2 linked regions of the Stegostoma tigrinum genome follow. The protein of the gene in region 1 purifies or fractionates together with the protein of each later gene. This does not show direct contact. Links are inferred from orthologs where the notes say so. Each region holds a gene or a part of one and is shown on either strand. Other genes may lie near its edges.

Region 1 (10,679 bases):
AACATGTGCGACAGAGACGGAGGAATTGAGAGAATGGGATAGCATTTTTATAGGAAGCAAGGCATGAGGATGTATTGTCCAGGCAGCTCTGGGAGTTAGTGAGTTTATAGTGGATATTAGCAGCCAGTCTATTCTCAGAAATGGAAACAGAGATGTCGAAGAAGCGAAGGGAGAAGACAGAGATCAACCAGGTGAGAGTGAGAGCGGGGTGAAAACTGCGAGCAAGAATTGATGAACTTTTCCAAATTTGGATGAGAGAGGGAAGCAGCACCAATGATATCATTGATATATCAGTGAAACAGTAGTGGGTGGGGGCTGGAATAGGACTAGAACAGGGAAAGTTCCACATACCCCACAAAGACACAGGTATAACTAGGGCCCATGCAGGTACCCATGACCAACCCTCTGACCTGAAGGAAATGAGAATAGTTAAAAGAGGTTCTAGGCCTGAAACGTCTGCTTTTGTGCTCCTAAGATGCTGCTTGGCCTCCTGTGTTCATCCAGCTCCTCACTTTGTTATCTCGGATTCTCCAGCATCTGCAGTTCCCATTATCTCAGAGTTAAATGAGAGGTTGCTTAGAGTGAGGATGAGCTTGGCCCACTGAAGATACTCATGGAGACAGTGTGGAGCCACAAGGACTACTGTAATAATCATCCAGTATTTGACATCATTCAAAACCATTAACATCTCTTCCAAGCATAGAGAATCCAGTTAAGCCAATTGAACTCGCAAAGAAAATACTGGAAAGACAAATGGGCCTGGAGATTGGTGCAGAGATTACGGAGGCCCTGCAATTAGTATAACTAAAGGCCCCGATCTCTCATAGAAACAGAAGACAGAAACACCGAGGGACTGTATTTGCAAAGCGACAACAAACTTCAATAAACATCACAACCGACCACGCCAAGAAGTAAATCCGACAGATTTTGAGTACCAAGTAACCCAACTGACATTACAAGTCCTCAAGCACAACTGAGGTGAAACCTAAACTCAACAGACCAGCATAACTAAAGAAAACCCAAGTACTGACACGATAGATCCAATATGTGTCTACCTGTATCAGCAGACTCAACCCAGACTGAGCGGTTGCGCAGCAATGAGTCCCCTACCACATCTGGGATATGACAAGCTAGAGCAACTGCTTTCGGTGAATCTTGAAACCACATTTGGAGCGGTGAGCAGGGTCAATGCCCGAAACATCAGCTTTTGTGCTCCTGAGATGCTGCTTGGCCTGCTGTGTTCATCCAGCCTCACATTTTATTATAATAGTGTGTTATGTCACTTTTTTTGTATTGGTGTTGCCTTGTTGTTTATATAAATAAACAGAGATTCTTTTGCCCATGAACATCTATCTGGTGCCTTCTCGTTGCATCCTGATTAATAAGTCCAGTGTCCAGAACAGGACCTAACAGCAATTCAAACCGCTTCGAAGTCAGAGGTAAACTGACAGAAAACCAGCTTTCCTGCTCCTAAGATGCTGCTTGGCCTGCTGTGTTCATCCAGCTCTACATCTTGTTATCTTGGATTTTCCACCATCTGCAGTTCCTATTATCTCAGTGCTACAACAACATCATTGTTTCCATTGTGGGAGGTCTCGGACCAGAGGGCATAAGTAGAGTAAGGGATTGTCCAAGTGGAACAAAGGTGAGGACGATTATTTTTTCTCCCTCAGGGAGTCATGAATCTCTGGATTTCAGTCCTGCAGTGGGTTGTTGGCTGTGTATTTCAGTATATTCAAGGCTGAGGCAGACAGATTTTTAATCAGTAAGGGAATCATGGGATACAAGGAAAAGGAGGGCAGTGGAGTTGAGAATTATCAGATCAACTGTGATCACATTGAATGTCTCTGCAGACTCAATGGACCAAATGGCCTAATGCTCCTAAGCCTTTGGGTGACTGGTTTGAGGCACAACAATATTAGTAGAAAATTGATTTTTCTGTGTGTGTCTCCCTCTTGAGACTGTGAATAACGAGAAGTTATCCTTTGTTCTATAATGACCTTCTGTCTGAGGATGGGGAATGCATCTATATATTGATCTCTTTTTGCTTGTGCATGCGTCTAAGTAGATAATAACTTGTACAAGTGGAATTAATTATTTTGGATTTGGATAACATGGGTAGTGCTCTATAAATTTATAATGAATGGGTAAATAAATCTGAGCATCCATTTCACCACATAGATTTCAGTATGCAGTAATTAAATACAGTATATCTGAACAGGAATGAACTGTTTCTAAAGTATAATTTGATACTATTGGTAGAAGATAATAACTTTTCTGTACTTAATGTGTGTTAATTTCTCTCAAATTTAAACATGGAAATCCCTGGTTTCAAAACGTAGCTATTTCTGAGACACTCCAAATAACTTCGGAGAGATTTCCTCTAATCACTATTTGAAGGTAAACATGGAGTTTCTTTTTGTCTACGTCTTTCTAATTGATGTATATCCCTCTCTATTGTTTGTTATCACTCTTTATTATCCACAATGCCTCCAATTTCCATTTCATCTGCAAGCTTATTAATTAGACCACCTGCATTTTCACCCAAATCATTTATATATATTACAAACAATGCAAATTGAAGCACTGTTCCTTGTGGAACACCGCTGGTCAGTCAGATCTGCAGTCAGAAAACACCTCTCTTCGACTGCCCTTTGTCTTCTGCGGCCAAGCCAATTTTGCATCCAATGTACCAACTCACCATGGAGTCCATGCGATTTAATCTTCTGGACCAGACCACCATGAGATCTTGTCAAATAAAGTCCACGTCAACAACATCCACTGGCTTACCCTCGACAATCATTTAATCAAAAAACACATTCAAGTTTGTGAGACAAGACCTCCCCCACATAAAGCCATGCTGATTATCCCTAATAAGTCTATTGCTCTCCAAATGTAATTAAATGCTGTCTCTAAGAATTTTCTCCATTAATTTCTATACCATTGATGTAACAGTCACTAGCCTATAATTTCCTGGATTAGTCCTGCTGTCTTCTTAAACAAAGGAACAACTTTGGCTATTCCCCAGTTTTCTGGGACCTTGTCAATGGCTAAAGACCATACAAACATCTCTGTCAAGGTGCCAGAAACCTTCACCCTTGCTTCCCTCAGTATCCTGGAATAAATTTCATCAGGCACTGAAGTCTTTTCTACCTTAATGTTTTTCATGACAACTTCTCCTTCTTAATATCAACAAACAATGCATCAACAAACCCCTCTCTAAACTTACCATCATCCATGCCTTTATCTTTGACGAGTACCATTGTGAAATACTTATTAAGGACCTCACCCAATTCCTTTCGCTCTACATCTTAATGCCCTCTTTTGTTCTTGAATGAACCTACCCTTTGCCTAGGTACTTCTGGCTCCTAATATACATATAAAATACTGTTGGGAATCTCCTTAACCCTACTTACCAAGGGCATTTCATGGCCCCTTCTAGCCCTGTTAATTTCTTCTGTTAAGTTCCTTTCTGCTTTCTTTATTCTCCACAAGGTCCTTGTTTGCTCTCAGTTTTCCAAATCTTACACATGCTTCCTCTTCCTTTTTAACTAAACTTACAACATATCTTGTTATCCAAGGTTCCTGAATCTTGCCATTCTTAGCTTTCATCCTCACATGAACAAGCTGGTCCTGAACTCTAGTCAACTGGCTTTTAAAAGAATCCTATTTCAGATGTGGATTTACCTGCAAACAGCTGCCCTCAATCCAATTTTTCCAGTTCCTGCTGAATACATTGTCATCAGTCTTCCCCCAAAATTGATCCTGTCTATCGTTCCTCCTTGATTTACTTGATTTAGCTCCTCTCCTCCTCAAACACTCCACATGTTGACCGACTGCTCTGGTTTTCCCACCTCTCTGCCACACTAGTTTATACCCTCCAAATGGCGCTAACAAATCTCCATGAAAGAATATTGGTGCCCTCCACTTTAACAGCAACACATCCTTCTTGTACCTCCCCTGGAAGAGATCCCAATGATCCGGATATCTGAAACCATCTCTCTTTTTCCATGCCTTTCAATTGTATTATATTCCTATTTCTGGCCTCACTAATATGGCAGAGGGAACAATTCTGTAAGTGTAACCCTAGAGGATCTGCTTTTCAACGTTCTACTTAACGTCCTAAATTCCCTACGCAGGACCTAATTTCATTTTGCCTATGTCATCAGTACCAGTATGTACTACTATTTCGAGCTGCTTACTGTCCCCCTTCAGAATATCCTGTGCCCGCTCAGGGACATCATTGACCATGGCACTGGGGAGGGAACACACCATCCTGGACTCTTGCTGACAGCCATATAAACACCTATCTGTGCCCCTGACTACAGAGTCCCCAGCATGCCTATACTTCGACCCTCCATGCTGTAAAACAGAGGCCAATTGTGGTGTCACAGATCTGGCTGCTGCTGTTGCTTTCCCCTGAAAGGCCACACCCATCCACTCCCCAACAGTATCCAACACGGTACATGGATGTGAGAGGGGAAAGGCCACCGGTGACTACAACACTGCTGCCTGTGCTTACTTGTCTTCCTCGTGGTCACTCAACTCTTTTCTGTCGACATAGTCTCAGTGATGGTGTGACCAGCTCACTAAACGTGCTATCCATGACATTCTTCGCCTCATTGATGCTCCATTTTCTTGCAGAAGACATGGTGGGGGGACAGAGTAAGGAGTAAACAATAAGTGGAGATATAGCCCAAAGACAGACAAGAACATTTGGACAGACAAAGGAGTGGATAACAGTCAGCCTGGGAGAATGCATGGTGGGCTATTAGTGGCTAACCATTGGCAGTGTGTGTAGCAGACCATGTGTTAACAAGGCCTGCTGTGTGGAGGTTAGGATAAGGACAGGGGAGAAGTTGCCTCCAGTCCTAACATTGTTGAAGTCAGTGCTGAGTCTCAAAAGCAATAGAGTTCCCAAGGGGAATATGAGGCTCTGTTCTTCCAACATGTACTGAGTTTTTCAGGAGCACTGCAGCAAGCCTGAGTCAGAGATGTTGGTCATGGAACAAGGTGATGTGTTGAAGAGTCGGGTGACCAGAAGATCAGGTTTTATTTTTGCAGGCCGAACGTAGATGTTCTGCGATGTGGTCGCCCAGTCTGTGCTTCATTTCCCAAGTGTAGAGGAGACCACACTGTGAGCAACGAATGCTGTAGATCAAATTGAGTGAAGTGCACGTAAAGCGCTGTTTCACCTGGAAGGTGCGTTTGCGCCCTTGGATACTGAGGCGGGAGAAAGTAAACGGTTGCAGGGTAAGGTGCCGTGAGACTCTGGGGGCTTGGTGGGAGTGAAGGAAGAGTGGACAAAGTGTTCCAAAAGGAATGGTCATTGCAGAAGGCTGACAAGGGAGGGGAGGGTGTTTGGTGCCGACATCCCACTGGAGGTGACTGCCTCCAGCTCTACTTATCCCATGTGGATTCCAACTCAAGTTTCATCCTTTGTGTTTTGAAGCCATCCGGGACCACAGATATTTCTGTGATGTTCAATGTTCCACACAGCTATTCTCGCTGCATCCTCGGATCCACACTCAATTTCATGCGTCGCCATATGCACACTCTCGACCTCTCTCTCCAAAAGCACTACTTTACGCTGGCTTGGAATTACACTGTTCCCTAGATCCACTTCATCCTCTGATTCATTCAATGTGCTAACAAGAAACTTTTCCTCGTTATGAGAGGTAACTTGGAGGAAAACATAACTTCAAAGTATCAAGCTGCTCAGAAATGTTATGGTCTGCTTTGTGTGACAGCTGGAATTTTAAGCTGAACTACCTGGCCCGAACGTAGGAAACACTATGCTGCTATAGGCCCCTTCAGAGGCAAATTTTAGATAGATAGGTAGAGAATTTACAGCACAGAAAGAAACTCTTCTGCGCATTATGCCCATACTGGTTATCAAACATCCATTTATTCTAATCCCATTGTTCAGCACTTGGCCCATGGTCTTCTGAACATTTTCTCATCGAACTGTCCAGAAATGTTTTGGAGCAGGTACCACTGTTCGAGCAGTACCACAAGAGCAACCTTTGTTTCAATTTCTGGTTTGAGATGTTTGTCAGTAACTGATGTATAAATCGGCAGACTGGAATGTGACCTGTACCTTTAAGGCAGGGAGGGGTGTGGCCTGGCGGCGGCGGCGGGGTAACCAGGGAGACGGCGGGAGCGTTGGACCTGGTCGGTAGTGGCCCTGACTCTAGCCCAGGAGACAAGATGAGCACCGGACTGGTAGGTATCCTGCTCGACCCCCCAACCCCACATTATTCAGGTTCATTCCCCGTTGGGGTTCCGGGGAAGCCAGGACCTGCCAAGCGGCCGAGGCCTACGGCAAACCCGCGTGTTTGGAAGTGGATGGGTTGGGGGGGCGGGGGGGAGAACGAAGGAGGGGAGACAAAGCGGGAAGGGAGTAGGCGACGGAGTGGGGCGGGGGGGGGGGAGGGGGTGAGAGCGAGTAGGGGAGAGAAGGGGGGGATGGGGAGTAGGGGAGAGAAGGGGGGGATGGGGAGTAGGGGAGAGAAGGGGGGGATGGGGAGTAGGGGGGGAGGATGGGGAGTAGGGGGGGAGGATGGGGAGTAGGGGGGAGATGGGGAGTAGGGGGGAGGATGGGGAGTAGGGGGGAGATGGGGAGTAGGGGGGGAGGATGGGAGTAGGGGGGAGGATGGGGAGTAGGGGGGGAGGATGGGGAGTAGGGGGGAGATGGGGAGTAGGGGGGAGGATGGGGAGTAGGGGGGGGAGGATGGGGAGTAGGGGTTAGGATGGGGAGTAGGGGGAGGGGGACTGGGGCGTAGGGGGGAGGGGGGATGGGGAATGGGGGGAGTCGGGGGGGAGGGGGGATGGGGAATGGGGGGAGTCGGGGGGGAGGGGGGATGGGGAATGGGGGGAGTCGGGGGGGAGGGGGGATGGGGGAGTCGGGGGGGGAGGGGGGATGGGGGAGTCGGGGGGGAGGGGGGATGGGGGAGGGGGGAGTCGGGGGGGGAGGGGGAGGGGGGAGTCGGGGGGAGGGGGGAATGGGGGGAGTCGGGGGGGGAGGGGAGGGGGGAGTGGGGGGAGGGAGGAGTTGGGGGGCGGGGGGAGTGGGCGGGAGGGGGAGGGGCGCGTGGGGGGAGGGCGGAGTTGGGGGCGGGGGGGGGGAGGGAGGAGTTGGGGGGAGGGGGGAGGGGGGGCGGAGTTGGGGGGCGGGGGGCGGCGGCGAGTGGGGGCGTGGGGAGTGCGTGGGGGAGGGGGGCGTTGGGGGGAGGGGGGCGGGAGGCGTAGGGGGAGTGGGGAGTGAGTGGGGGCGGGGGGATGGGGGAGTTGGGGGCGGGGGGCGGGGGGGAGTTGGGGGGCGGGGGGCGGGCCGAGTTGGGGGGCGGGGGGCGGGGGGCGGAGGAGTTGGGGCGAGTGGGGAGTCGAGTGGGGGCGGGGGGAGGGGGGCGTTGGGGGGCGGGGGGCGGGGGGAGGAGGCGTTGGGGGAGTGGGGAGTGAGTGGGGGAGGGGGGAGGGGGGAGTTGGGGGGCGGGGGGAGGAGGAGATGGGGGAGTGGGGAGTGCATTGGGGGAGGGGGAGGGGGGAGTTGGGGGGCGAGGGGGGCGTGAGTGGGGGAGCGGGGGCGTGCGTGGGGGCGGGGGGAGTGGGGGGCGGGGGGAGTGAGTGGGGGCGGGGGGCGTTGGGGGGCGGGGGGCGTTGGGGGGGAGGGGGCGAGTGAGGGGGGGAGGGGGGAGTGAGGGGGGAGGGGGGAGCGAGTGGGGGCGGGGGGCGAGTGGGGGGGGTTGGGGGAGGGGAGGGGGGAGTGAGTGGGGGGGTGGGGGAGCGGGGGGGAGTGAGTGGGGAGGGGGGAGTGAGTGGGGGGTTGGGGGAGGGGGCGGGGGGAGTGAGTGGGGGGGTGGGGGAGGGGGCGAGTTGGGGGCGCGGGGGGCGAGAGTGGGGGGGTGGGGGAGGGGGCGGGGGGAGTGCGGGGGGAGGGGGGGCGGGAGGGGGAGTTGGGGGGAGGGGGAGGGGGGAGTCGGGGGGGGCGGGGGGGCGTCGGGGGGGCGGGGGCGGGGGCGGGGGGCCATGGGGGCGTCGGGGGGCGGGGGAGTGGGGGGCGGGGGCGGGGGGAGTGGGGGGAGGGGGCGGGGGCGAGTGGGCGGGCGGAGAGTTGGGGGGGGCGGGGGAGGGATGCGTTGGGGGGGCGGCGGAGTTGGGGGGCGGAGGCGTTGGGGGGCGGGGGAGGGGGGCGTAGGGGGGCAGGGGGAGTTGGGGGGAGGGGGCGGGGCGAGTGGGGGGAGGGAGGCGTAGGGGGTCGGGCGGCGTTGGGGGGCGGGGGAGGGCGGCGTTGGGGGGAGGGCGGAGTTGGGGGCGGGGGCGGGCGGAGTTGGGGGGAGGGCGGAGTTGGGGGAGGGGGCGGGGGCGAGTGGGGGGCGGGGAGGGGCGAGTGGGGGGCAGGGGGAGTTGGGGGGCAGGGGGAGGGGCGAGTGGGGGGCGGGAGGAGTAGGGGGGGGCGGGCGGCGTTGGGGGAGGGGGAGGGCGGCGTTGGGGGGGAGGGGGGCGGAGGCGTAGGGGGAGTGAGTGGGTGAGGGGGCGGGGGGAGTTGGGCGGGGGGAGTTGGGGGAGGGGGGAGGGGGGCGTTGGGGGGAGGGGGGCGGGAGGCGTAGGGGGGGCGGGGGGAGGCGGAGAGGGGGAGTGGGGAGTGAGGGGGGAGGGGGAGGGGGCGAGTTGGGGGGAGGGGGGAGTGCGAGGGGGAGGGGGGAGTAGGGGGGGCGGGGGGAGTGAGGGGGGGCGGGGGCGAGTGGGGGGGAGTGGGCGAGTGAGTGGGGGAGGGGGCGAGCGAGTGGGGAGGGGGCGTGCGAGGGGGCGGGGGCGAGGTGGGGGGCGAGGGGGCGAGAGGGGGGGCGGGGGGCGAGAGTGGGGGCGGGGGCGAGTGGGGGGGAGGGGGGAGAGCGTGGGGGAGGGGGCGAGTTGGGGGGGAGGGGGGCGAGCTGAGTGGGGGATGGGGCGGGGAGTGAGTGGGGGCGGGGGGAGTGAGAGGGGGGGTTGGGGAGGGGGCGGGGTCGTGCGTGGGGGGTGGGGGAGGGGGGGGAGGGGAGGGGCGTGGGGGTGGCGAGGGTGGCGGGGGAGGGGGGCGAGGGGGAGGGGAGAGTGGGGGGCGTGGGGGCGAGGGGAGGGGGGAGGGGGGCGAGGGGGAGGGGGGGAGTTGGGGGGCGGGGGAGTGGGGGGGAGGGGGGAGTGGGGGGGAGGGGGGAGTGCGTGGGGGGGTGGGGGAGGGGGCGGGGGGCGTTGGGGGGGAGGGGGGCGTGAGTGGTGCGGGGGGTGGGGGAGGGGGCGAGGGGGGCGTTGGGGGGGAGGGGGGAGTGAGTGGGGGAGGTGGTGGCGGGGGAGGGGGAGTTGGGGGGCGAGGGGGGAGAGAGGGGGGAGGTGGTGGAGGGGGAGGGGGGAGTTGGGGGGGCGGGGGAGTGAGTGGGGGGGTGGTGGAGGGGGCGGGGGCGAGTTGGGGGGGAGGGGGGCGTGAGTGGCGAGGGTGGGGAGGGGCGTGGGGGGGAGTTGGGGGGGCGGGGGGAGAGAGTGGGGGGGTGGTGGAGGGGGAGGGGGGGAGGTGGGCGGGGAGGGGGGAGTGAGTGGGGGGGCGTGGTGGAGGGGGAGGGGGGAGTGGGGGGGAGGGGGGGAGGGAGTGGGGGGCGGTGGTGGAGGGGGTGGGGGGAGTTGGGGGGGAGGGGGGAGTGAGTGGGGGGGGGGGGCGAGGGGGAGGGGGGAGTTGGGGGGGAGGGGGGCGAGAGGGTGGGGGGGTGGTGGAGGGGGAGGGGGGGCGTTGGGGGGGAGGGGGGAGTGAGTGGGGGGGTGGGGCGGGGGAGGGGGGAGTTGGGGGGGAGGGGGGAGTGAGTGGGGGGAGGGGGGCGTGGGGGGTGGGGGGCGTGAGTGGGGGGAGGGGGGGCGGGGCGAGGGGGGCGGGGGGGGGGGCGAGTGGGGGGGGGCGGGGGAGGGGGGAGTGGGGCGGGGTCGGGGGGCGTGAGGGGGCGAGGGGCGAGGGGGGAGGTGGGGGGTGGGGGAGGGTGGGGCGGGGGGCGAGGGGGCGGGGTGGAGGGGGGGTGGGGGGGGGAGGGGGGGCGAGGGGGGGCTGGGGGGGGGAGGGGGGGGGAGGGGGAGGGGGCGAGTGGGGGGAGGGGGCGAGTGAGGGGGGGTGGGCGGGGGGAGGGGGGAGGTGGGGGAGGAGGGGGGAGGGAGTGGGCGGGGGGGCGAGGGGGGCGGGGGGAGTGGGGGGGAGGGGGGGCGTGAGTGGGGGGGGGGGGCGAGCGGAGGGGGGAGGGGGGGGGCGGGGGGCGTGAGAGGGGGGGGTGGGGCGAGGGGGAGGGGGGAGGGGGCGGGGGCGGGGGCGAGGGAGAGGGGGGGGTGGGGGAGGGGGAGGGGGAGTGGGGGGGGAGGGGGGCGTGGAGGGGGGGGGGGGGGGAGGGGGAGGGGGCGTGGGGGTAGGGGGGGAGGGGCGGGAGCGGGGAGGGGGCTGGGGGGCGTGGGGCGGAGGGGGGCGGGGGGGAGGGGGGTGGGGGAGGGGGCGGGGGAGGGGGAGGGGGGCGTGGGGGGGAGGGGGGCGGGGGTGGGGGGGATGGGGGGGCGGGGGTCGTGGGGAGGGGGAGGGTGGGGGAGGGGGTGGGGGGGGTCGAGGGGTGGTGGGGGGGGGGGGGGAGGGGTGGGGGGAGGTGGGGGTGGGGGAGGGTGGGGGGGGGGGAGGGGGT
Region 2 (10,894 bases), on another chromosome or scaffold:
AGCCTCTAACCTAAATACAGGAGGTAGAATTTCCCATTTCCCTTGTCCCTTTATCTGGGTTTCTTCCTCATTAGCCATTATAATGTATTCGGCTTATTATAAATCTGAAGCACCTACATCACATTGTAGCGAGAAAGCCGTTCAACCCCTCTGGCCTGTTCTACCATTCAACTACACCATGGCTGATTTGCTACTCTGCTATTACCAACGATGTTCCACTCTTAAAACTTCTGTTTAATGAAATTATCAATCCCTGTTTTCAAAATTTTCAAATGACCTCCAACCTTAACAGCACTTTGTAGGGGACGACCGCAAAATTTCCATTATGCTTTGAATGAAAAGTACCTCCTGACCTCAGTTGTGAGTTTAACTTTTAAGCAGAAATAAAATATGTTGAATGTTGGAAATCTGAAATAAAAGTGAAGTGACATAAATACTCAGGAGGACTGGCGGCATCTGTGGCGAGAATGAAGGAGTAACATTTCAGGTCAATGTCCTTTCATCAGAACAAGACATTAAACTTGAAATGTTGACATCTGTGAAGTGAGGAATAGAGTTATCAGACCAAAGTATTTTCTGTTTTATATCTAATTTTAAAGTTATTTTCTTGGTCTGGACTGTCCAGAGGAAGTAATTTCTCTCTATCTGAACTTAAAATGCAATATGAAAAATGGGATGTACTAAGGGTTTTATGTAAACTTAAGATAACATAACTGCTCTGATGAAGGGTCTAGGCCCGAAACGTCAGCTTTTGTGCTCCCGAGATGCTGCTTGGCCTGCTGTGTTCATCCAGCCTCACACTTTATTATCTTGGATCCTCCAGCATCTGCAGTTCCCATTATCTCTGAGAACATAACCCTTTTCAGTTATTTATATTTGAAACCATTAAACCTTCTACTCCTCTGGAGTTCATAGCTTCTCACCATTTAAGAAAAAAAGATCTTATCTACTTTCCTGCACCTTTTTGCTCTTGTCTGCATTATTAACAGTGCCAACTAACTTGGTATCATCGGTCAATTTAGGTTTAGTTTTCTATCACTTCAAAAGTTATTCGTTTACATTGAAGCTTCAAGATCCCTGTGCATTATTCACATCTTAACACAACTGCATGCCATTAGCCCTACTCCTGTCTCCTAATTCCATACACCAATTCTAATGGTGCAATTGGTCATTAGATGATGTACTCACCTGGTCAATCTCCTTCTGCAATTTCTCTGCCTCCTCATTAGTCAGCTCCTTGATCTTTGGCTGCTTCAGTTCTGGTTCAGATTTCTCCTTCTCTTGTATAAGCTTTGCCCGTTCCAATTTTTCTTTTCTCTCTGCTTCCTTTTTCACCTCCTTCTCCATCTGAACCTGTATTGCTAATTTATGGTGGCGTTTGAAAGTGTCTGTGACCAACTGTGGAAAACACATGATCAAAATTATCAGTTAAGTGGGATTACACCATTAATACACTAAAGAGGTCGGGAAAATTACCAGTGGGAAATTGAATTGAGAAATGAAAATGAGGAGCAATCCCCCACCCTCAGAGAAATGGAGATATAATGAAACTCCCAAGTACTCACTTTGTTAGCTGCTCCCTGCTCTCCACCAGTAAAGAAGTCGGTTTTGCGCCTCAGAAAACTGAAGAATGTATCCACAAGCTGGGGGGGAGAAACAAAAAGCTTACGCTCTTAATTAGACCCACTACACTTGAAAAGGTTACCTGATGTACATTCGAGTCTGAATCCCACCATAGAATTGGAATCCAATGAAATCTGAACTCAAAGTCTCATGGGGACCATAAACCACTGTCAATTTTTTTGTAAAAATGTACCTGGTTCATTAATATGTTTTAGTGAAGCAAACTGCCAATCTTAAGAGCAAAAGAACTGCAAGTGCTGTAAATCAGTAACAAACAGAAATTGTTGGGAAAGCTCAGCAGATCTGGCAGCATCTGTGAAGAATCAGAGTTAACATTTCAGGTCTGATGATTCTTCCTCCATGACGCTGCAAGACCTGCTGAGCTTTTCCAGAATTTCTGAAACTGCCAACATTATCTGTTCTGGTTTACGAGCAACCCTAGACCCACAGCAATGTGTGTGATTCTTAACTGGTCTCACCTTTATCAGCCTCCAGAAAGGAAAAAGACGGAATGAAGCTGGACACCTGGCATCAACTAAGGCACTACAAACATCATCAAACAGACTTATCAACACTACAAATGCCCCTTAGAAACATTAACACCCAAATATGAAAAATCACCCAGGTATGTCCTGTACACAAAACAAATTTCAACCTGGCCAGTTACCGTGCTGTTAATCTTCAGTGAAGTGACAGAAAAGGTAATCAGTAGTGTTATCAAACAGCACTTGCAATGCAATAATCTGTTCACCTTGAATACCATGGACAACTCTTCAGAATCTGAAGTAGTCCATATCCAAAGGCAGCAAGACCTGAATAATATCCAGGTTTGGGCTGACAACTAGCAAGCAGCCAGGTCACACAAGTTATCATCTACAATAAAACAGAATCTAACCAAGAGCCCTGGCATTCAATGGCATAACCAATGAAACCCCCATTATCAACATCTTGTGGGTTACCATTGACCAGAAAGTTAACTGGATTAGCCATATAAATACCGTGGCTACAAAATGAGGTAATAGGTTAGGAATCAGACAAAGAGTAACTCACATCCTTACTTCCCAAAACCTGGCCACTATCTACAAGGCACAAGTCAGGTGTGTGGTGGAATTGTCTTCATTTGTTCAGATGAATACACTTCCAACAAGACATGAAACACCAAAAAGGACAAAGCAGCCAGCTTAACTGGCACCACATCCACAAATATTCACTCCCTCTACCAGTGAGACACAGGAGTAGCAGTGTGTACCATCAATGAGAAGCAACACAGAAATGCACCAACCCTGTTCAGACACAGTCTTCCAAACTTTTACCTTTGACAAGGGCAGGGACAGCAGATACATATGAACACCACTACCTGCAAGCTTCCCTCCAATCTACTCACATCGTTACCTGGAAAAATATTGCTGTCCCTTCGGTGTTGAGTTAAACTCTTGGAATTCCCTTCCTAATGGCATTGGACCATTAATAGACCTACACCAAATGGATTGCAGCAGTTCAAGTGGGCAGCTCACCACCACCTTCAAAGGCAACTAGAAATGGGTAATAAATGCTGGCCCAGCCAGCATCACCCACGTCAGCTTGGAAATAAATCAATTTTAAGTTGTTTGATGTTTGAGTGCAGCTTGAGGCACAGATCGCAGTGTCCTGCTCGGTGAAGTACATGGTACAGGCAGTAGATGACATACAGCAAACTCTATCATTTCCCTCAAATGACCACAGTGAACTGGACATTTCACCATTAAAGATAACAAGGTGTAGGGCTGGATGAACACAGCTGGCCAAGCAGCATCACAGGAGCAGGAAAGCTGACATTTCGGGCCTAGACCACCATTAAACTTCTCTTTCACTCTCTAGCAGGCGTACTGTCATCACCAGTGGTTACACCAGTAAATAAAGGGAATACTCCTACTGATGGAGGCAGAGACAATACATAACAGATTGGATACAACATTCAGGCAGGCTCAATGGCAAAAACTGACCAAAACCAACCACCAGAGAATTGAGAGAGATAATGGGAACTGTAGATGCTGGAGAATCCAAGATAACAAAGTGTAGACCTGGATGAACACAGCAGGCCAAGCAGCATCTCAGGAGCACAAAAGTTGGTGTTTCAGGCCTAAACCCTTCATCAGAAAAGGGAGAGGAGGAGAAGGTTCTGAAATAAATAGGGAACGAGAGGGAAGCGGATCGAAGATTACAAGAGAGTTGCAGTGGGAAAGAGATCCCCTGAGGTTTGTCCAGAGGGAGGAGGATAACTTCTTCACGTTAGGCATCCCTAGAAGAGACTTCGCAGTGGGGTTAAAATTGTATTAGAGATAATGGGAACTGCAGATGCTGGAGAATCCGAAATAACAAAATCAGGCATGTTAGAAGGACATGAGTTCAAATATCACTTCAAAGACTTAAGTCATAATCCAGATTGATGCTTCCAGTCTCTCTGTTAGCGGGTAACACCTCTTGGGTGGGTGGGTGGGGGGGGTAAAGATTGGATGGATATTTTGATTTAAAACAAGGAAACATCCTATGCGATTCTGGTCAATATTTATCCCTCAACTACAGGGACATTGAGTCGGCAATCATTTATTATTGTTTGTTGAAGTTAATACATGAAGTTTACCAAAACCATTTCCTATATTAAATATTAAGTACGCTGCAAAGTCGTTGAGATGCCAAAGGTCTTAAGTCTGTCTTTATTTTTACCACTGGGCAGATGTTCCCAGACACTGGGAACTGGGGGAGATCTACCCCCTGGCAGAACGAAGGTGGAAGAAATTACAGGATCCGCCACAAGAAAAATTAACGCGTTTTAAAAGATTCACCCCCTTGCCCCGTCCCAAAGCAGAATATAAGGGTAGCCGTGGTGCAGAAAGAGGGTTATACTCCAGATGGTTGGGGGTGGGGGATATGTCGAGAATCCGCTTTCTCTCCTTCATTCCCGCTTGCCCCCACCCCCCCGGAAAGTCAGTAGGGTGGACGATCCAACCCCAAGCAGAATATAAGGGGCTGCAGAAAGAAGAATGAAATGGGTTGGCGGGGATGTTAAGGATTCACTCCTCTCCTTTCTAGTGACGGCTGTTGGGGGTGGGGGATGAAAGCAAATCTATTCCCTACATCTGGTTAAATATAGGGAGTGCGGAAAGAGGAATATATACTCCCAGGTGAAAAGGTGGGTGAAGAAGTAGCGAATCCAACCACATCAAGCGGAACGGAGTAGAGGCGGCAAGTGGGATATACCCACGGTGGGGGTGGGGAATCGGCCCACACCGGGGTAGGGCAGTATCTCCTTCATACCTGGTGAACGCCTCCTTCATGTTGCTGGGCCATTGCCAGCAGAATGCCATCGAAACGATCCTCGCCGGATGAGTCCCCCATCCTTTCTCGGAATCAGCGCTGCTCCCCTCAGGCTGACGGATCAACCACGCGTTACAGGCCCCGAATCACTCACCCGGAAGTCGTGCCGCCGAGGTCAAGTGTTGATGGACATGTTTTTCAGCCAATCATCAGACGCGTCGAATCACGACGTGTGACGTCAAACCAATAGATTGAAGGTTTGTGTGGCATGGGGGGGCGCGGTCACTATGGAACATTCAAGAATAGGGCCCTAGCAACCCGTGCCTCAACAAAAGCCTCAGTGGCGCGGACCTTTGTGGTGCAGGAGAAATCTCGTTACCTCTGAGTTAGGCAACGTCTGCTCTGGAGGTGTGTAACAACATCTCGGAACTGGTTAGATAAAAGCACCGTACTCGATTGTGTGGCTCGAAACTGGCTAGGGGTTAGTTAAAATGCCTCTTCACAGAAGTGTAACAGCGCAGGAGTTCGTGGTGTCTGATTCGATTTTATTCCCTAGGGCAGGCCTTCTGCCTGTGACACTGCGCGTTACTTGTCTCTAAGTAATTATCCAATGCCTCAACCACATTTCTTGGCAGTACATCCCATGTCTTAACTACTGACTAAGTTTTTTTCCCACCCCTTGCATCTTTTGCACATCACTTTAAATTTATGACCTCTTATTATTGCTTTCTTTTGTAAGAAGGAACAACTTCTCTCTATCTACTACATTCAACCCGTTCATGATTTTGAAAGCCTCTATCAGATGTCCTCTCCGTCTTCTTCGAAGAGAACAGTCTTAACCTAAATCTATCCTCTCAACACAAGCTTATCATTCCTGGAACCATTCCTGTCAATTGCTTCTGCACTATCTCTAATACATTCGCATCTTTCCTATAATATTGTATCCACAATTGTACACAATATTCCAGCTGAGGCCTAACAAGTCTGTTGTCTAATTGCAACATCATCTCCCTGCTCCTGTAACTTTATGTATTTATTAATAATGACAAGATCACAGTATGCTTTCTTAACATATAGACTCAGGCCACTCGGCTCCTTCGTCCCCTTCAGAACTGTACCGCCTATTTTACGTTGTTTTTAATGGGGAGTAGCCAGGAAAAGGATATAGAAGCTTGTGAAAGGCATAACTCAGGAACCAGAGCAGGTCAAAGGGTGGGAGTTCTAAAGTAATTAATACTGCAGTAAGTCAGTAACTCTCACTTGTGTGAGGAGAGTTTGAGAATCTTTGACTGAAGAATGACTTTTAAGATTATGGAAAGGTGGAATACAGCACATGCAGCTGAGGCCAGAATTAGGGGATATAAATGTAATCACTAATAACACTTGGGAATTCTGAATAAATTCTCTGGATAAATTCATTTGTCCAAATAATGGGAGCAGTTATGATTTCTTTTTCATGGATAGGGTGTAGACATCATTAGAAAGGCCTCCAACACACCCTATCCTCTTGGACACCACCTCAAGGCCTCCTACCCTCCCTCAACCTCTTTGTCTCCAACTGCCATCGTGACATCAATCGCCTCAACTTCTCCCCCACAGAACGTGCAGCCCTCTGCTCCAACCCTAACCTCACTACAAAACCCGCGGACAAGGGAGGCACAGTTGCCGCGTGGCACACTGACCTCTACATCGCCGAGACCAGGCACCAACCCTCTGACACCTCCTCCTACCGCCCCCTTGATCATGACCCTACCCCTGACCACCAAAACGTCATCACCTCAAGTGACCTCCCACCCACAGCCTCCAACCTCATTGTTCCCCAACCCCACACTGTCCATATCTATCTCCTACCCAAAATCAATAAGCACAACTGCCCAGGTCAACCCATTGTATCTGCCTGTTCCTGCCCCACTGAACTTATCTCCACTTATCTCGATTCCTTTTTCTCACCCATGGTCCAGGAACTCCCCACCTACATCCTGACACCGCCTGTGCCCTCTACCTCCTCCAAAACTTCCGATTCCCTGTCCTCAACACCATCTTTATCGTGGACATCCATTCCTATATGCTTGCATTCCCATGCAGATGGCCTAAAAGCCCTCTGCTTCTTCCTCTCCCGCAGGCCCGACCAGTCCCCCTCCACTGACATCCTTATCTGCCTAATTGAACTCTCCTTACACTTCACAAGTTCACCTTCAACTCCTTCCACTTCCTACAGACGAAAGGCCATGGGTACCCTCAGGAGCCCAAGCTATGCCTGCCTCTTTGTAGGATACATGAAACAGTTCCTCTTCTGTGGCTACACTGGCAGCATCCCCAACCTCTTCATCCATTACATCGATGACTGTATCAGCGCTGCCTCGTACTACCATGAGGAACTCGAACAGTTCATCCACTTTACTACTACCTTCCACCCCAAGTTTAGGTTCACCTGGACCATCTCTGATACTTCTCTCTCCTTCCTGGACCTCTCTGTTTCCATCTCTGGTAACCACCTGGAAACTGATATCTAGTTCAAGCCCACCGACTCCCACAGCTACCTAGAGTACACCTCCCCTCACCCACCTTCCTGCAAGAATGCTATCCCCTGTTCCCAATTCCTTCACCTCTGCTGCATCTGCTCCCAAGATGAGGTGTTCTGCTCCTGGTCATCCCAGATGTCCTCATTTTTCAAGGGCTGCAATTTCCCCTCCATAGTGGTCGAAAATGCCCTCGACCACATCTCTTGCATTTCCTGCACCTCAGCCCTCACACCCCCTCCCCACAATAACAACAAAGACAGAATTCCCCATATCCTCACTTATCACCCCATCATCCTCCAGATTCAAAGCATCATTCTCCATTACTTCCGCCACCTGCAATCTGGCCTCACTACCAAGGATATATTTCCCTCCCCACCCTTATCTTCCTTCTGGAAGGACTGCTCTCTCTGCGAATCCGTCATCCGCTTCACACTCTCCACTATTCCCACCACCCCTAGCACATTCAACTGCAGCTGTAGGAGATGCTGTACCTGCCCCATCACCTCCCGCCTCACCTCCATCCCAGGCCCCAAGAAAACCTTCCATATTTAACAAATGTTCTCCTGCACGTCCATTAATTTGGTATATTGTTTCCAATGTGGCCTCCTCTATAGCAGGGGAACCAAGCGGAGGCTTGGAGACTGCTTTGTGCAGCACCTACACTCGGTTCGTGACGAATGACAACACCTCTCAGTTGCGAATCACTTCAACTCCCTCTCCCGCTCCTTGAACAACTTGTCCATCCTGGGCCTCCTCCAGTGCCATTATGATGCTACTGGAGGAACACCACCTCATATTCCACCTGTGAATCCTGCAGCCCAAACATCTCAATGTGCACTTTGCAAGCTTCAAAATCTCCCCACTCCCGACCAACCCCTAAGACCAGCCCCTCCCTCATCCCCACCTCCTTGACCTGTCTGTCTTCCCTCCCACTTATCCGCTCCTCACTGACCAACCACCATCCCAATTCCCTACCTATGCCGTCCTGTACTGGCTTCATCCCCGCTTCCTTGACCTGTCTGTCTTCTCTCCACCTATCTGCTCCACTATTCACCTTCTATCATCGCCTTCCCCCCTCTCTATTTATTTCAGAGCCCCCTTCCCCTCCCCCATTTCTGAAGAAGGGTCCAGACCTGAAATGTTCGCTTCCCTGCTCCTCTAATGCTGCCTGGCCTGCCGTGTTCATCCAGCTCTACACCTTGTTAAATTAGCAAAGCATCATTTGTTGTTCATGCCTCACCTTTGGGGTGGTATTATTGGACTATTAATCCATAAATTTAGCTAATGTTCAAGGGAGATGGTGGAATTTGAATTCAGTAATGAATATAGAATAAGGGTCCACTAATACCAAAAAAAATTGCTGATTGTTGGAAAACCCATCTGATTCACTAATATTCTTTAGGGAAGAAAATCTGTTATCCTTACTTGATCTGCCCTACATGTGACTCCACACCCACAGCAATTTGGTTAAATTTTAACTGGGCAATTAGGGATAGGCAATAAATGCTGGCCTAGCCACAGATGCTCACATTCCATGAGTGAATAAATTTTTAAAAATCCTTGAGAGTAGTTAAGAGTCAATCATAATGATGTGGATCTGGAACTGTAGGTCAGACTGGGTGAAGGCAGTAGGCTTCCTTTCTAAATGGCATCAGTGAACGACATAGGTTTTAACCTCAAATCAAATTATCCAGTCTTTATCAAACTGCTGTTTGGATGCTTTGTTTCCTACAATGCAATGGTGAAATACTTTGGTATATCCTGAGGTTGTGCATTGTACAATTACTAATAAATGGCTTTTTTTTCATGTGTTCCAGAGTTTTGCAGACAATGAAATACCTAGTGGTCACCTATTGTCTTACATAGATTGCTTCACCTGCACTGTTGCATTTTAAAAGCGATGTTCTCATTGGGATAAGATAAATTTCTCCATACATTTGAGGTCACTTAATGCTTTCTGAAAAAATATTTATGCATAGGCATTTTCTAATAGAGACTGAAAACATAAGAACAGAAGGAGGTCTCTCAATTCCTCAAATCTGTTTTGTCATCCTGTTAATTCATAGTTGATCTGTTTCTCGACTCATTTTTCTTACCTTTGCTTCTTATGCCTTGATACACTAGCCTAACTAAAAAAACTATGAACCTATTTGAAAATATCAGAACTGAAAATCCAGTTTGCCTTCTCTCTGGTGCAACAACTGTGAAGTCAATCATAGCAGTTCTGTTGCTGGATTGAAGATTAGCAAACAACATAGAGTCAACTTGAATCAGAACATTGCACACTGTGAACTTTCTCTGGCTGTGCATTTACTCGTGTCTACTTATGAGCTTGATTGAAACATAGCAGTTTGGAACACTTGGTGAGGGTGTGGTTGCTTTATTAATAATACAGTAATCTGACATCAGATAGAATTGTTTACATGTTCATTTGCTTCAAGGCTACATTCAGCAAATATTCCTTATCTAATTACCCTGATATCACTTTCTGTAACTGTGTTTACCTGATTGGTGTTCTGTTATTGGCCTCTTGCAGTCCTTGGTGCACTGGTACAATGTGGGTTTCAAGTCTGTGTACACAACATCAGGTAATCGAAATAAGCCACTTCCATCTGTCTGACCTGCTGTTTCATTGAAAAAAATCTTATCTGCTGCTGGCCGGCACCAAAGAGATACATCCCTGGGCCAATTAGTTACTGTGAGCTTTTTTTTCAATGAAAGCTGCTTGTTCTTTCTGGCCAAGGTCACTTATAGTCTCTAAATGAAACAATATAAATAGTCTCAGGTATAAGCAGCTCATTCGCTGCCTGTGGAAGCTTGTGCTACATTGGGAGCTGTAGCCGAGCCTACCTGATCTTTTCTCAGCCAACTCTTGTTCAGCAGAGCTCTAAAACTAGTTGTTTGAAGCATTAGAGAATTTGAGGATTTTGGTTTCCAGTTAAAATTAACACTTCAAACTACATTTAATTTGTTAACACCATTACAGAGAGCTAAATTCCGAGTGATCCTGGTTTGGCAGTGAGGCAGTTATGGCTTGTGTCAGTGTTCTATCTGATAAATGCCAGTGTGATTCTGGGAAGAGACAGAATGCAATCTTGTACACCATCCTGAGCCAACGTGGAGACTGCAAGTTCTCACATCACAACTGCTTCTATGAAGTCAGGTTTGCTTGAAGACTCCCCGTGTTACCTGTCAGGCAGTATCCGATGTATTGGCAAAGACAGTCGCTTTTATGAGGAACCTCCCGTCATTCCATCATCTTCCCAGATCAGACCAGCTGCTGCTGCTGGAGAGCTGCCGGCTGTCCTTGTTTCTGTTAGGATTGGCTCAAGATAGAGTGAGCTTTGAGGTGATAGAGACCCCAGGTCACAGCATGCTGAGGAGAATCTTGCTGAATGGACCAAATCTGCTCAGGACAGAAGAAGAAGGGAGTCGGCAGCCAATGCTTGCTGGTG

Evidence for each region. Proteins that work in one complex are often made in the same cells at the same time.
Region 2: the proteins of POC1 centriolar protein homolog A-like (region 1) and nudc purify together in Homo sapiens (co-immunoprecipitation; 3 studies listed by BioGRID and IntAct, with this or other methods). This does not show direct contact. The link is inferred for Stegostoma tigrinum from reciprocal best matches to the Homo sapiens genes POC1A and NUDC.

The regions. Positions count from the first base shown.
Region 1 is NC_081364.1:22,084,135-22,094,813, forward strand, and holds the start of POC1 centriolar protein homolog A-like, read left to right. Parts: upstream 1-6,143; 5' UTR 6,144-6,210; coding exon 6,211-6,225; intron 6,226-10,679.
Region 2 is NC_081377.1:32,944,432-32,955,325, reverse strand, and holds the start of nudc (nuclear migration protein nudC), read right to left. Parts: upstream 5,127-10,894; 5' UTR 4,999-5,126; coding exon 4,918-4,998; intron 1,644-4,917; coding exon 1,566-1,643; intron 1,399-1,565; coding exon 1,189-1,398; intron 1-1,188. UniProt on the Homo sapiens protein: Plays a role in neurogenesis and neuronal migration. Necessary for correct formation of mitotic spindles and chromosome separation during mitosis. Necessary for cytokinesis and cell proliferation.